Linked DNA regions of Pelodiscus sinensis. The protein of the gene in region 2 interacts with the protein of the main gene of each other region in a pairwise test. Links are inferred from orthologs where the notes say so. Each region holds a gene or a part of one and is shown on either strand. Other genes may lie near its edges.

What was found.
Region 1: the proteins of KXD1 (region 2) and CCDC185 interact in a two-hybrid assay, tested with the Homo sapiens proteins (2 studies listed by BioGRID and IntAct). The two-hybrid records come from large-scale screens. The link is inferred for Pelodiscus sinensis from reciprocal best matches to the Homo sapiens genes KXD1 and CCDC185.

What each region holds. Positions count from the first base shown.
Region 1 is NC_134713.1:87,632,908-87,640,740, reverse strand, and holds CCDC185 (coiled-coil domain-containing protein 185), read left to right. Parts: upstream 1-5,023; 5' UTR 5,024-5,054; coding exon 5,055-6,965; 3' UTR 6,966-7,258; downstream 7,259-7,833.
Region 2 is NC_134729.1:19,764,030-19,771,200, forward strand, and holds the start of KXD1 (kxDL motif-containing protein 1), read right to left. Parts: upstream 3,023-7,171; 5' UTR 2,654-3,022; coding exon 2,642-2,653; intron 226-2,641; exon of another isoform or gene 60-225; intron 1-59.

The sequences.
Region 1 (7,833 bases), on a different chromosome or scaffold from region 2:
CTTTGATGGTAGGCCCAAGGTGTCCAAAATGACGACAGCATAGGCACTTTCCACTGCAGGGATCAAGTTGTTAGCAGTGCTGCAGAAGCTTCCTACTGGTGATTCCAGGAACGGTATTGGGAATGGGGGCAAGAACGGGAATGGTACCAGCCGCTGCATGATGCAAAGGACTGCGCTTCCAACTCCAAGGTATACTTGACCATGCTGAACAGTGCTGAGGAGTGGCACCAAAGGGATGGAGAGTGCTGCTGCTGCAGAGTCGGTTTTCCTTGGTACCATATGATAACTGGTGCCGGCTTGAGGCTCCGAGGCTATGGTGCCAGGGTGACTGCTGCATGACGTATGGGGCCAGGGCTGGGGCAGAGCACATTGGCCTATGGTCAGTGCCAGGTTCAGTGCCGAGGCACGGACTGCATCAAAGTCTGTGCTGCAGGCTCCATCATTTCACAAGGTCAGAAAGTGTCCTCAGAAGTGTCCAGTGTATAAGGGAGGTCCAGGTCCTCCTTGTGGACTTCCCACCCAGTGGAGTCCAACAACACTGGACTCAATGGCCCTGCCCTTGGGTCCAGAGTTGGCAATGCTGGCTGCACTGTACTGTCCTGAGATTGCTCCAGGCTGGGGCACACTGACAGAGGGTGACTACTGGTCTTCTTGTCCAGAGACTGGCTTCTGCTAGGCCTTGTCTTCTCATACAGCACCGGAGATGGACAGTGCTGAGGAGCAGAGGAGCTTGTCTTGTGTGCAAGGGAATGGGTGCCAGTGCTCTTTTGGGTCTTCCTTACGAAGTGCCAATGTGTCCCATATTGAAGCTGGTGCACTGTACATGGAGGCCAGCATGCTACACACCAAATATGACAACATCGGGTCCAGCACTGGGGGTCGAACTGCCGTCTCCACTAACAAGAGTTTGAAGTGCTGATCTCACTTTCTCTTAGTTTTAGGCATGAAACTGTGGCAGATATTACACTAGTCTGTTAAGTATTCTTCACCAAAACACCTGAGGCAATGCAATGTGCAGGCAGATCCCTTTTAGGCATAGGCTTGCTACAAGTGATGCAGTTCTTAAACACCCCTGCTGCATACTGGGAAGCGGGGGAGGGAGAGAGGAAAAAGAAACATAAATGAACAAAAAGTGGAAGGGGACCCCCACAGAAACTATAAACCAATGGCAGATGCCCCAGAGGGAGAGAACACAACAGGTAATCATCACATGATCCCTCTCCTGTAAGCCATTTCCAGACAAACAGAGGCAAGGGACACCATTCCTACCCATACTGGCTAATAGCCATTTATGGACCTAACCTCCATGAACTTATCTAGCTCTTTTTTAAACCCCGTTAAAGTCCTAGTCTTCACCACATCCTCTGGCAAGTAGTTCCACAGGTTGACTATGCGCTGCACGAAGAAAAACTTCCTTTTATTTTAAGCCTGCTGCCTATTAATTTCATTTGGTGACCCCTAGTTCTTATATTATGCGAACTAGTTACAGTAAAACTCCATTGGTCCATCATCCAATGCTCCAGTACTCCTGATGGCGCAGCACCATCAGGAACCCGGAAGTGCTGGGGCAGCTGGACAATTGGAGCTGCTCTGCGCCTGGCTTCCCCGATTCAGCCGCTGCTGAAACTGACCAGCAGCTGAATCGGGGAAGCCGGGGGCAGAGCAGCTGGGGTGCTGCTGGGTTGGTCCGGTGGCACCGCCCCTCGGGGCTGTGGGACCAACCTGGCAGCACCCCAGCTGCTCTTGGGGATTCCTGGAGCAGAGCAGCCAGAATGCTGCCAGGTTGGTCCCCCAGTGCTGAGGGGCGGCGCTACAGGACCAACCCGGCAACATCTCAACTGCTCTGCCCCAGGCGCCCCGATTCAGCCACTGCTGGAGTCAGCCGCTGATCAGTTTCAGCAGCGGCTGACTTGGGGACGCCTGGGGCAGAGCAGCTGGGGTGCTGCCAGGTTGGTCCCATAGTGCCAAGGGGAGGTGCTACCGGACCAACCTGGCAGCACCCCAGCTGCTCTGCCGCAGGCGTCCCCAAGAGCAGCTGGGGTGCTGCTGGGTTGGTCTCGCAGCGCCGAGGGGCGGTGCCACCAGAACGATCCAGCAGCACCCCAGCTGCTCTGCCGCAGGCGTCCCCGATTCAGCCGCTGCTGAAACTGACCAGCAACGGCTGAATCGGAGACGCCTGGGGCAAAGCCAGACTATTGGAAGGGGGGCTATGAGGGGTCTGAGGTGGCGTCTCCCCCACTGCACCCCAGTCCCCTCATAGCCCCCCTTCTAATAGTCCGGCATATTTGATAATCCGGCACCCCTTGGGTCCTAAAGGTGCCGTATTATTGGAAGTTTACTGTAATAACTTTTCCCTATTCACTTTTTCCACACCAGACATGATTTTATAGACCTCTATCATATCCTCCTCTTAGTCTCCTCTTTTCTAAGCTGAAAAGTCCAAGTCTTTTTAATCTTTCTTCATACGGAGCCCGTTCCAAACCCCTAATCATTTTTGTTGATAGAGGGCCAGCTTTACAAGCACCATTTTAGGGGGCTCCGCAGCTAGCCCGTTGGGTACCACTATAGAAAAAAAAGCCTTCCAATCATCATGAATGCAGTGTGCACATGCCTATTGAAATGCATGTGAATGATCACTTGAAGAAGAACTGTATCCACTCCATGTAGTGAATCATCACAAACCAACTGCAATGGTAGCAAAGCATCAACATGCAAAAAAACTTCATCTGATGTCATCTTCTTTGCTTGTTAAAGATACATTACTTATTTGTCCCAAATTCTTTTTCAAATCTTTGAAATGCCTGCTTCTCTAGTATTTTTTTTTTAATTCCATGGTGCTTTTTTGATCATCTTCACCTTGATCTCTGTTCACTTTAAGCCAAAATCTGTCACAAAATAGTGGACACTTTTCTTCAAATTCATACAAGGGTTAAACCTCTTATTGTCCATTAAGTTGAACTTTTACCTGGAGTATCCCTTAGAAAAGTTAGTTCCAAGATGGTAAGTCTTCAAAACTATGGAAATTTCTCCCAAAGGAACCCAATGTCTGGTAATAGGTGTATATGGAAATTCAGTGAGATGGCAGCTCCAATATCAAGCTCCATTCTTGTAGGAATTCTCTTCACCAAGGGTGTGACCCAGATTCCCTTTCTGACTCCTGGTAACACATGCAGTAGTAGGGTCTTGGTCATTATCACTAGAGTTCTTATCTTCACATTATGAATTCCTGATTTCATAGGTTCAGTCTTTCCTAGGCTCAGTCTTCTTGGCTGTGTCCAGACTCCATGCCTCCGTCGACGGAGGCATGTAGATTAGCCAGATCGGAAGAGGGAAATGAAGCCGCGATTAAAATAATCGCGGCTTCATTTAAATTTAAATGGCTGCCCCGATCTGCCGATCAGCTGTTTGTCGGCAGATCGGGAGAGTCTGGACGCGATGCCCCGACAAAGAAGCCTTTCTTCATCGACACAGGTAAGCCTCGTGAAACCAGGTTTACCTGTGTCGATGAAGAAAGGCTTCTTTGTCGGGGCATCGCGTCCAGACTCTCCCGATCTGCCGACAAACAGCTGATCGGCAGATCGGGGCAGCCATTTAAATTTAAATGAAGCCGCGATTATTTTAATCGCGGCTTCATTTCCCTCTTCCGATCTGGCTAATCTACATGCCTCCGTCGACGGAGGCATGGAGTCTGGACACAGCCCATAGGTGTATTCTTGGATGTGTAGTTATTTTGTGCTGGTGTTCACTGAACTGTGCAACAGGTCACAGTGATGTATCCTTTCTTCTGGCACTTTTTGCCAATGACCTGGTGTGGCCTGCAATTCTCGTCAGCATGTGTAATTTATGTACAGTGGCCACATGGAAATTCCTTTCATTCCCAATTCAGGAAGTGAACTTCTTAGTGCACACTGATTATCAGACTCCTTTTCCTGGTTTCCATAGCAATAGCCAATTTAGCCTTTTTGAATGTAAGTACTTATACTGGTCATTTCATAATCCAGAGACAAATTGGTCAGACAGGACATCACTTAATTTTTTTTCAAGCTGTCAGTACTCTGACAACTTCCATGGAGCTGTCATAAACTGTGCTACTCACTTTCCACTTCCCTGGTGTTGCCGAAGTAACCAATATCATTCTGCTGTCATCAGTGAGGTAGGCGAGAGATGTTCCTGCATTGCTGCAATAATTGATGCATATGTAACATTTGGGGGAAATGGGTCATGCAGCATCCTGTATGCCTTCAGGCCCATCCCTACCCCACCATAGGCAAAGTTGGCAGCATGTGCGGAGCTGTGTGTGGTGGCCTTACCAATCAAAGGATGGGGTGAGGTAAGGGAGCAGTATGGTGGTTCGAGCCAGGTGTTAGGGTGGCTGTGTATGGTGAGGCAGCTAGGTGCTGTGTGCATTGTGTGTGGTGGGTTGGGGTGGATACAGGAACAGGTGCTGTGGGGGAGCAGCGTGCTGGGTTTGGTGGATGTTGGGAAGAGAGCTGAGTGTGGCGGATTGAGGCGGGTGCTGCAGGGAGGGGGTTGTGCATGATGAGCTGGGTGGATCGTGTGTGTGTGTGTGTGTGTGTGTGTGTGTGTGTGTGTGTGTGTGTGTGTGTGTGTGTGTGTGTGTGTGTGAGATGAGTTAGGGCAGGTGCTGCAGAGGCTGTATGTGATGGGCTGGCAGGGAGGGAGATTGAGGTGGATGTTGCAGGACTGGGAGGTCTGTGGCAGATGCTGGGATAGATGCAGGGGTGCAATGTGAGGATAGTTGGGGTGGGGGCTGAACGTGGTGGACTGGGGCAGCTGAGTGTGGTGGGCTGGGGACTGGAGGGCTGAGCGTGATGCGCTGGGGCCGGTGCTGAGGGGCTGGAGGGGGGTTGGGCTGAGAGTGTTGGGCTGGGCCCGGTGCTGAGGGGCTGGGCACTGGGGAGGGGGGCTGCGTGTGAGGGACGGGGACAGGTGCTGGGGCAGGGGCGGGAGTAAAACCTGCTGGCCCATTGTGACGCGGCGCGGCGGTCACTGTGCTGCGGCGCCGCGGGGCAGGAGCGGGGCAGCGCGGGGCCATGCAGCGGCGGCGGCGGCGAGGGCCGGGGCGGTGTCCAGGGGCCGAGGGCGGCTGGCGCTTGCCCGCGGGCACCTCCCTGGGCGAGCGCGCGTCCACCAGAGGCAGCAGGAAGCGGCCCGCGCCCCGCGGCTGCTCCCCGCGCGCTGAGCCGGGCTGCCCCGCGCCCCGCCTGGAGATGGCTCGGCCGGGCTCGGGCCGCTTCTCGCCGCCGCGCTACCTGGATCCGTACGGCTCGGAGCCGGAGACTGCGGGCGGGGAAGGGGGCTGCAGCCTGGCCCCGGCCCACGGCCTGAGGAAGGGGCAGAGGAGCGAGGTCCCCTCCCAGTCCCGCCGCCCCTCCTCCTGGAAGCGACACGTGCCCCCGGCCGGCGAGGGGTACCCGTCCTCCGTGAGCCCCTCCTGCACCAGTCTCTACCGGGGGGACTGCTGGGAGCACCCCGACAGCCGCCGCTTGGGCCAGGGCAGCCGGCTGCAGGAGGATCAGTGGGCCAGCCCTGTGCAGAAGACCCGGGGGTATGGCCCAGATTTCAACCGTGAGGCCAGCAAGCCCCTCTCCGCCTGCGCCTCCTCGTCCTCCTGCCAGCTGGAGGCGGCCCCCAGCAAGCCCGGGAAGAAGGCGCCCAAGAGCGGGGGATGGCAGGACGCGTCCGAAAGCAGCCCAAGCCTGAGTGACCTGATATACTCCTTTGCCAGACAGGAAGAAGATGAAGACGAAGAGGATACCCAGGCTGAAAACCATTACCACAACCGCAGCGGCCACCATCCATCGAGGTCAAGACGGAGGGAGCCCCAGGTCAGCCTCCACGATCTCACTGATAAGAGATATGAGGACTTAATCCCTAAAAGGGACCGAAAGATCGCAGCTCTGATGCTGGCCAGGCATCGGGATGATCAGGAGCTAAAAGAAAGGCAGCTGCAAACGTCTGAGACCTGGGATAAGATGAGAAGGCGGGAAAAGAAGCTCAAATCAAGACTGGAGAAAGAAAGGCAGCACCATCTTGCTGAAAGCCTGGAAAAGTGGCAAAAGGACAGAGAGCACCGGAAAGCCAGGGTCAGGCTAGAAGACCAACATCTTTTGAAGGCCCGGGAGAAAGAAATGATGTCACAGCAGAAGAAGTGGGAAAAACTAGCCCAAGAGCAAGAAATGATGCGGAAGGAAAAACTTGAAAGAACTAAACTCCAGGCTGAGTACAGAAAATACTGTCAAGAAAAGCAACTGAAAGAGAAAAGGTTAGCTGAGAAAAGTGCTAAGCAGTACAATTATAATCTATTAAAGGAAAAAATGGCACAAGCCTTTGAAAAAAGACTGTTGAAAGAAATGGAAGGGAAGAAAAGGAGTCAAGATCTGAACCAATATGAAAAAAACAGGCACCTGAAAGCAAAAATGGATCACCAAGTCAAAGCTGATGAGCTTTATAAGAGGCTTTCTATAGAACAAAAGCTTCAAAGATCTCAAGAAATCCTTGATCAGCTGATGGAAGAAAGGAACAATGAATTAAAGGAAAAATCTCTAAGGGATGAAGAACAAGGCCTATTGGCCAAGTTTAGAGCAAAAGAGACAGAGGAAGAAAAAAGAAAGCGTAAAAATATGTTGCTGCAGATAGCGGAGATGAAGATTCAGCAAGCTCAAGAAATGATGTCTAAAAATATCCAAGACAAAGCACAACGTAGCAAGGAAAATAACTATTTAAAAGAAATAAAGCACCAGTTTCGAAAACAAAAAGTTGAAGATGATGAAAAATGTCACCTCCGGGAAATTCAGGAAGCCATCAAAAGGAAAGATGAGAAAAGCAATAGGATTTTAAGGGGTAAGGAAGCTGCTGTGGAAGACTCTAGAAAAATAGCAAGAGCATCTTATGACTTGAGAGAAAAAGTGAGAGAACTGATTAATAGTCATTCGTTTGACTAGATGGCTTTAAGAGTCCATACAGAGCGAGTCTTCTTAAAGGGATCTAGAAACACTTACTTAAAAAGAAAAATTGCAAGCATTCTTGTGCTAAAAAGATAGTTTGCATTCTTACTGTGACTTGCTTAGAATTCTGCACTGTATGACACTAAAATGGTTTCACCCTTAAACTTGGTGTGTCTCATAATACACTGATCATTTTCTGTACGATTATGGCCTAAACAATTTGATAGTGTTTATTTAAAGTGAACACTTTTGCAATTGTATTGTTTGTAAAGTAAAAATATCACCTGGAATCTGTGTTCTCTGAAAGCTGTGTGCTTGAGGGTCTGCTCAGAAGAGATTCCTATACTGCCCAGATGATTAGCAGAATGCCCACAGTTAGGTTTTTTGTTTCTACTCCTGGTGTACAATCGAAAAAGCCTTGGTGCAAATAAAAAAATATTCTGCTCATGTTTTGAAAAAATCTGCATATTGATGGAAAAGGTTAGTGGGAACATTATCTGGAACCTATGTTTAATGAATGTAGAACATAGATCTTGCTGAAATCCTAAAAAAGTCACAAAAGTATTAATACTATCTCACTGCAAGCACACAGTGTGGAACAGACTAAGATACCTGTCTTAGTCTACATTTGTAAAGCATCTTACAGTATTAATGCTATATAAATCCATGATAATAAAAACAGATTTACTGATTCTAAGAAGTGAATAATTCAACATCCGCAAATACTTGGGGTTTTTTCTGCCTTCAGTCACTTACTAAATACCCTGATCACACTATATATTCAAATAATGTATGGATGCAGGTATTTTCTGACTAAAAGGGCTTGGATACAGTGGAGTTCTTAGTTGCCACTATTAATCAGAGA
Region 2 (7,171 bases):
CCCCCCCCCCATTGCCTGGGAACCTCCCCCCCCCGACTCCCCAGCCCGAGGCCGCGCACCTGGACGGGCCGCTGCCCCGGGGCCGCCGCCTTCACATGACGGAAGCGGCGCCCAGGCCAGGAGGGGGCGGGACCGGCCGCGGCGGAGCAGGAGCAGCGGCGGCTCGTGGGGGGCCTCGGGCTAGTGGCTCGCTTCCGGGATGAGGGGTCACGCGCGCGGCGTGACCTTTGCGTCAGGACGTACGTGTGCGTGAGGTGCAGCTAGAAATCCCTTCCCCTCCCCACAGCGCCCCCTAGTGGTCAAGGGCCCTCCCCTCCCACAGCTCCTCCTTCCCCTCAGGGGCTGTAGGGGGGAGACCCCACAGCGCCCCCTAGTGGTCAAGGGCACTCCCCTCCCACAGCTCCTCCCACTCAGGGGCTGTATGGGGGAGACCCCACAGCGCCCCCTAGTGGTCAAGGGCCCTCCCCTCCCACAGCTCCTCCTTCCCCTCAGGGGCTGTAGGGGGGAGACCCCACAGCGCCCCCTAGTGGTCAAGGGCACTCCCCTCCCACAGCTCCTCCCACTCAGGGGCTGTATGGGGGAGACCCCACAGCGCCCCCTAGTGGTCAAGGGCACTCCCCTCCCACAGCTCCTCCTTCCCCTCAGGGGCTGTATGGGGGAGACCCCACAGCTCCCCCTAGTGGTCAAGGGGGCCCTCACAGCTCCTCCTTCCCCTCAGGGGCTGTATGGGGAGCCCCCCACAGCTCCCCCTAGTGTTCAAGGGCCCCCCCACAGCTCCTCCTTCCTCTCAGGGGCTGTATGGGGGAGCCCCCCACACCTCCCCCTAGTGTTCAAGGAGCCCCCCACAGCTCCCCCTGCTCCTCAGGGGCTGTATGAGGGGAGCCCCCCACACCTCCCCCTAGTGTTCAAGGAGCCCCCCACAGCTCCCCCTGCTCCTCAGGGGCTGTATGAGGGGAGCCCCCCACAGCTCCCCTTAGTGTTCAAGGGCTCCTCCCACAGCTCCTCCTCAGGATCCGTATGAGGGGAGCCCCCCACAATTCCCCCTAGTGTTCCAAGGGGCAAGGGGACCCCCACAGCTTTCCCTCCCTCTCAAGCACTGTATGAAGGGAGCCCCCCATAGTTCCTCCTCAGTGCTCCAATGGGAACCCACACAGCTCCCCTTCACCCTGTGACCCAAGGGGACTCCTACTGCTCCCTTTCCCCCTCAGGGAGTGTATAGAGGAGCCCTTCCACAGCTCCCCTTAGTGTTCCAAGGGGACCCCTACAGTTCTCCCTCCCCCTTGGAGTCTGTATGAGGGGAGCCCCTTCACAGCTCGCCCTCAGTGTTCCAAGGGGAGCTCCCCCTCCGGGACTCTGAGAGGAGCCCCTACAGCTCCCTTTCATGTGGCCCAGTGGGTAACCATTCAAATTCATGTGACCCCTTAGCTATACGGATAATATAAGCACTCCCATCCCCCTAGCAATAAATTTCTTCAGGGATAAGCCTGTAGGGGAAGAGGATTAATGTTACCAAAAGGGCTCTGGGGTAACAACATGGGCAGAAAAATCTTTATGAAGTTCTCTGGGAGTCGAACATACATGTATATAGCTAAATCAAAGACAGATTGGCTGACTAGAGTACAGGATGAGCCTAGTAGACTGGACTAAAATCAAAGCAGCTCTTTCCTACTTTGTAGAAGGTCCAGTGCACAGGCTGGTCCAACTTCAAGCTTCTTTCCCAGCACAAATCACCAAGACAAAAGTTCCCCAGGTCTCAGAGAGTAATTTCTCAGAAGAAAAATACTAGAGTTGAGGCTTTTTCAAGAAAATGATTGCTTCACTTTTTTCTCAGTTTACAATAATCCTCAAAGTTGCTTATAAATCAGACAAGCAGACATGTTGCCAGCACAGAGAGTCAGACCAGCTGAAATGCTGCCTTTTTCCACTTGTCTTCCAGATTTTCTAAAAAACAAGGCCTCCTTTAGCCCTCTTTTCCCTTAATACTATAAATCCAAGAACTAAAAGTAATAGACATTTTCATCCGTTTCACACAAAAGAATGGGAAAGCTGGAAAGGTCAGAGTCCTGCCTGGAATCAAATGTGAAATTCTGAGGTACCTCAGGGGTGGTGGTGGGGAGGGGAAGAAGACTGTTTAATAGGTGATTTGGGGAGTAAGTGCCCCCCTGCAGCAGACCATAAGAAGGAAAGAAGTCTTCATCCTCTTTTGCTACTGGCCTGACAATCATAAAAAGAACTTCAGTTTTAAAAAGTTATACATCTGTCATCGGGGCAGCACACCCATCTCCCTTCAGGGGGTGGGCATAATGTCTCTGAGACCCCTCAAATGGTGCTCAACCCCACGTGCATACCAGTTTAAGGAGGAGGGTGCTATGCCTCCCCTTCTTACAACTGCAGCTCATCCGGGACGTATCCAGGACCAAACCACATCCAGCCCAGCGTCTCTAACAATGCCCAGTGCAGTGTGGCCTAGCCGTTAGAGTCAATAGCAGTGGGGTATAGCTCTGCTGTTGAGGATGGTGGGGAGACCCAGGCCCACCCTTTCCACCAGATCCCAGCCCAGGGTCTTGTCAGCAGTGGAGTGGTCCACCACTAGCTCGGCGAGAAATCCCACTGAAACTCCTCTCCATGGGCTACTTCCTACCAGTCTCTCCATTGCAGTCTTCCCCAGCTCTTCTCTCCAGACTGGAGGCTTTTTCCTGCATTCCCCACTGGCTGGCCTCCATGTCTTGCTCCATCTGTGGTTCCTCCTTGGGGACTCCAGCAGCACCTCCTTCCTTGAGGGCTGTCAATCCAGACTGAGCTGCTCCACAGGCCCTTACACCTGGTCTCTAGCTGGAGCAGAGCTGGAGTGGGGTCTCTTCAGCCAGGTAGACTGGGTTAAATCTCGCAGCCCCAGTACAGGGTTGGTACCACCCCATCACAAGATCTCTAGGTAGTTTTGCAAGGCCTTTTGAATGGATTTTTTAATAGGTTCAAAATGTCTCCTCGTATTTTTGATATGGACGGTGTCATTTAAAAAATGTGCATGACTCCTACAGATAATAGAGAAGAGAAAGCAAGGTGAAGTCCTGCCCATGTTCAGTGAGGTGCCTTTTTATATAAACAATATCCATACGAACCATTACCATGTATAGATGCATAAGTAAATATTAACCAGTGGTCCAGTGACCTGGAAAAAACATCGCAAGGTGATGATCTGGTGACCTTGTACAAATGGGTGAACTTTTGCTGTAGGAAAAATTCGCATTTCCTTTCTTATAGAAAAAATACTGCAAGTTCCTGGTTGAAATGTAACTTAGAGGTAAATCAGTAAACTTACACTGAATGTTGCACCTGTGTGTGTGCAGGAAAGCGATATGAATAATGAAGAATTAATCAGCACATCCTGGTGGGGCAGTGATCTTATTCTGTTAAAGAGGCAAGGAGTCCTGTGGCACCTTATAGACTAACCGAAGCGTGGGAGCATAAGGTTTCGTGGGCAAAGACCCACTTCAGATGACGAAGTGGGTCTTTGCCCACGAAACCTTATGCTCCCACGCTTCGGTTAGTCTATAAGGTGCCACAGGACTCCTTGCCGCTTTTGCAGATTCAGACTAACACGGCTACCCTTCTGATACTTATTTTGTTAAAATCTCAAATGTCTGTGTTGCTCTTCTGTTTGTTAAATGAGTATTAAATAGGGATGTAAATGAGTAATTGTTTATTCGCCCCCCGCCCCAGCCCAGTCAGAATGGCCCCTTCTCTTTGCTATGCTTCTGGCAGGGGACTGCTGTGGTCAAGCCAGGCCCACCACAGTGCAACATGGGTTGGGGGAACTCCAGCCCCACCTGGCTGGAGCAGCTCCCCACTCATAATACAATAGGACGGGCTGGTTATCCAGTTAAACATACAGCGTCCAGGCTGCCGTGTCAAGCGGCACATGCACTGATGGGCTCTGCCATCCCAGTAGGGTGGCTGCCACCTTGGATCAGAGCTCTGTACATGCTGGAGCCTGTCACGTTGCCAAGGCTGGCGGGGGGTAGTGGTGAATGTTGGGAGCTTCCCAGAGCTGAGATGCACCAGTGCATGCTGGGACCAGGCATGCCCCAGAGTTGGGGTGCAGCGGTGCATGCTGAGAGCAGGGATGCAGTGGTGCATGCTGGGACTTAGCAGGTCCCAGAGTTGGGGTGCAGCAGTGCATGCTGAGAGCAGGGATGCAGTGGTGCATGCTGGGACTTAGCAGGTCCCAGAGTTGGGGTGCAGCGGTGCATGCTGAGAGCAGGGATGCAGCGGTGCATGCTGGGACTTAGCAGGTCCCAGAGTTGGGGTGCAGCGGTGCATGCTGAGAGCAGGGATGCAGTGGTGCATGCTGGGACTTAGCAGGTCCCAGAGTTGGGGTGCAGAGATGCATGCTGAGAGCAGGGATGCAGTGGTGCATGCTGGGACTTAGCAGGTCCCAGAGTTGGGGTGCAGCGGTGCATGCTGAGAGCAGGGATGCAGCGGTGCATGCTGGGACTTAGCAGGTCCCAGAGTTGGGGTGCAGAGATGCATGCTGAGAGCAGGGATGCAGTGGTGCATGCTGGGACTTAGCAGGTCCCAGAGTTGGGGTGCAGCAGTGCATGCTGAGAGCAGGGATGCAGCGGTGCATGCTGGGACTTAGCAGGTCCCAGAGTTGGGGTGCAGCGGTGCATGCTGAGAGCAGGGATGCAGTGGTGCATGCTGGGACTTACCAGGTCCCAGAGTTGGGGTGCAGCGGTGCATGCTGAGAGCAGGGATGCAGCGGTGCATGCTGGGACCCGCTGGCTGTCCTTCTCTATGGCCATGCAGGTCCCTCCCCCAGCCCCGCGCCGCGGCCCCTTTAAGAAGGCGCCGGGCAAAGGCCGATCCAGGCGGGACGGGCGCTGCAGCCAGCCAGTAGCGACGGCCTTCCCCGCGCCGCGGAGCCAATGAGAGCTGGGGGCGGGGCTACAGCAGCTGATCCCGGAGGCCACAGGCCAGGTGGGTGCTGGGGGCGCTGCTCGCGGAAGAGGCCCCGGGCGTGGGGTCTGCTGCTGGGGGCGCCAGCCAGGTGCCGCTGGGGCGGGGGTTGGGGAAGGGGGGGCAGTGGGGTGAGAGGGGGCTGGAGGGGTGAGAGGGGCCCGGGGAGGAGGGGGGTGAGAGGGGCTGGGGGGGTGAGAGGGGCAGGGGGAGGAGGGGGGGCTGGGGGGGTGAGAGGGGCAGGGGGGTGAGAGGGGCCCGGGGAGGAGGGGGGCAGGGGGTGAGAGGGGCCCGGGGAGGAAGGGGGGCTGGGGGGGTGAGAGGGGCAGGGGGGTGAGAGGGGCCCGGGGAGGAGGGGGGCAGGGGGGTGAGAGGGGCCCGGGGAGGAGGGGGGCTGGGGGGGTGAGAGGGGCCCGGGGAGGAGGGGGGCTGGGGGGGTGAGGGGGGCCCGGGGAGGAAGGGGGGCTGGGGGGGTGAGAGGGGCAGGGGGGTGAGAGGAGCCCGGGGAGGAGGGGGGCAGGGGGGTGAGAGGGGCAGGGGGGGTGAGAGGAGCCCAGGGAGGAGGGGGGCTGGGGGGGTGAGAGGGGCCCGGGGAGGAGGGGGGCTGGGGGAGGAGGGGCAGGGGGGGTGAGAGGGGCCCGGGGAGGAGGGGGGGCTGGGGGGGTGAGAGGGGCCCGGGGAGGGGGGGCAGGAGGGTGAGAGGGGCCCGGGGAGGAGGGGGGCTGGGGGGGTGAGAGGGGCCCGGGGGAGGAGGGGCAGGGGGGTGAGAGGGGCCCGGGGAGGGGGGGCAGGAGGGTGAGAGGGGCCCGGGGAGGAGGGGGGTTGGGGGGGTGAGAGGGGCAGGGGGGGTGAGAGGGGCCCGGGGAGGAGGGGGGCTGGGGGGGCGAGAGGGGCCCGGGGAGGAGGGGGGCTGGGGGGGTGGGGGGGCAGGGGGAGGAGGGGCTGGGGGGTGAGAGGGGCCCGGGGAGGGGGGGCAGGAGGGTGAGAGGGGCCCGGGGAGGAGGGGGGCTGGGGGGGGTGAGAGGGGCCGGGGGGTGAGAGGAGCCTGGGGAGGGGGGGCAGGGGTGAGAGGGGCCCGGGGAGGATGGGGGCTGGGGAAGGGGGGTAGGGGAGTGAGAGGGGCCTGGGGAGGGGGGCTGGGGAAGGGGGGAGGTGGGGGTGAGAGGCTTCCGGTGAGGGGGGTGCCAAGGCTGGGGGGTGGCTAGGTGAGCACTGGCTGGGGACCATTTGTGGGGAAACTGGACTCGGCTTGTGACACACACCCCCTTAGTGGGCTGTGCGGGGCTTGTCGTGCTGGACCCAGCTCGCAGTCAGCCAAGGTCTAGGGGGGAGCGGGGCCCTCCCACTGCTGGGGCTGGGCTCTGTGGGTTCATGTGCCCCACAGTGTACTGGCCCCTTCTCTCGCTGCTTCCCTGCCTCCGGCTGGGAGCCACGAGCCTGTGGCCCAGAGGTGTCAGGCTGTGGTCGGTCCCTGCCTGGCAGTGCCAAATTGAAATGAGTGTGGAGGCGGTGGGCCTGCCAGAGAGCTTCTGTCTCCTTGGCTAGCCCGGGTCAAGGGACGGCCCTGTTGCGATATGGGTGTGAGGGGTGGGTAATGCGGCACCGGTGAAAGGCAGGGATGCCTGTTGCACTGGGTACAGCAGACTGGTTCTTTCCCCAGCCGTCTGGGGCTGAGTGCACCACAGAACCATAGCTCCAGGGTGGGAAAAGTGGGGGGGGAGCACTCATGAGTTATGTAAGGCGCTGTGGCCTCCGCTGGAAAGACTGTGAGGAGGGGGATGGTTCTAAAGGGGCAGTTCCTCTATGGCACCTGTTGAGAGTGGGGGGGCATCACTTACTACTCCCTGGGTTTGGGGGCAGCTGAAGCGTTCCAGGTCCCATCTTGCCCTCACCTTTTTACTGGCAAGCTCCTGTTAAGGCAGGTGTTGATGGCCTGAAGCCTTTTTTCTGTGGGTGGCGCCTGCTGGGAGGCAGGGTCTGAAAAGGGCAACTGCTGGAGGGGATGATACTGGTGCTTCTGCTTGGGCTTGTTAGCTGGGTCACAGCTCCTACGGGTGCCTACATGGATGCTTTGTGTTGCTCGCTAATTGAAGGATGTACCAGGGCAAATGTGACACATTTCCTGAAATGCTGTCATGCAAACCCCAGCAGTTTTGTGAGTGGTGTGGGGCTGACCGAATCAAGTTGCCTTTTGGAAGACAGGAGGGCTCATGTT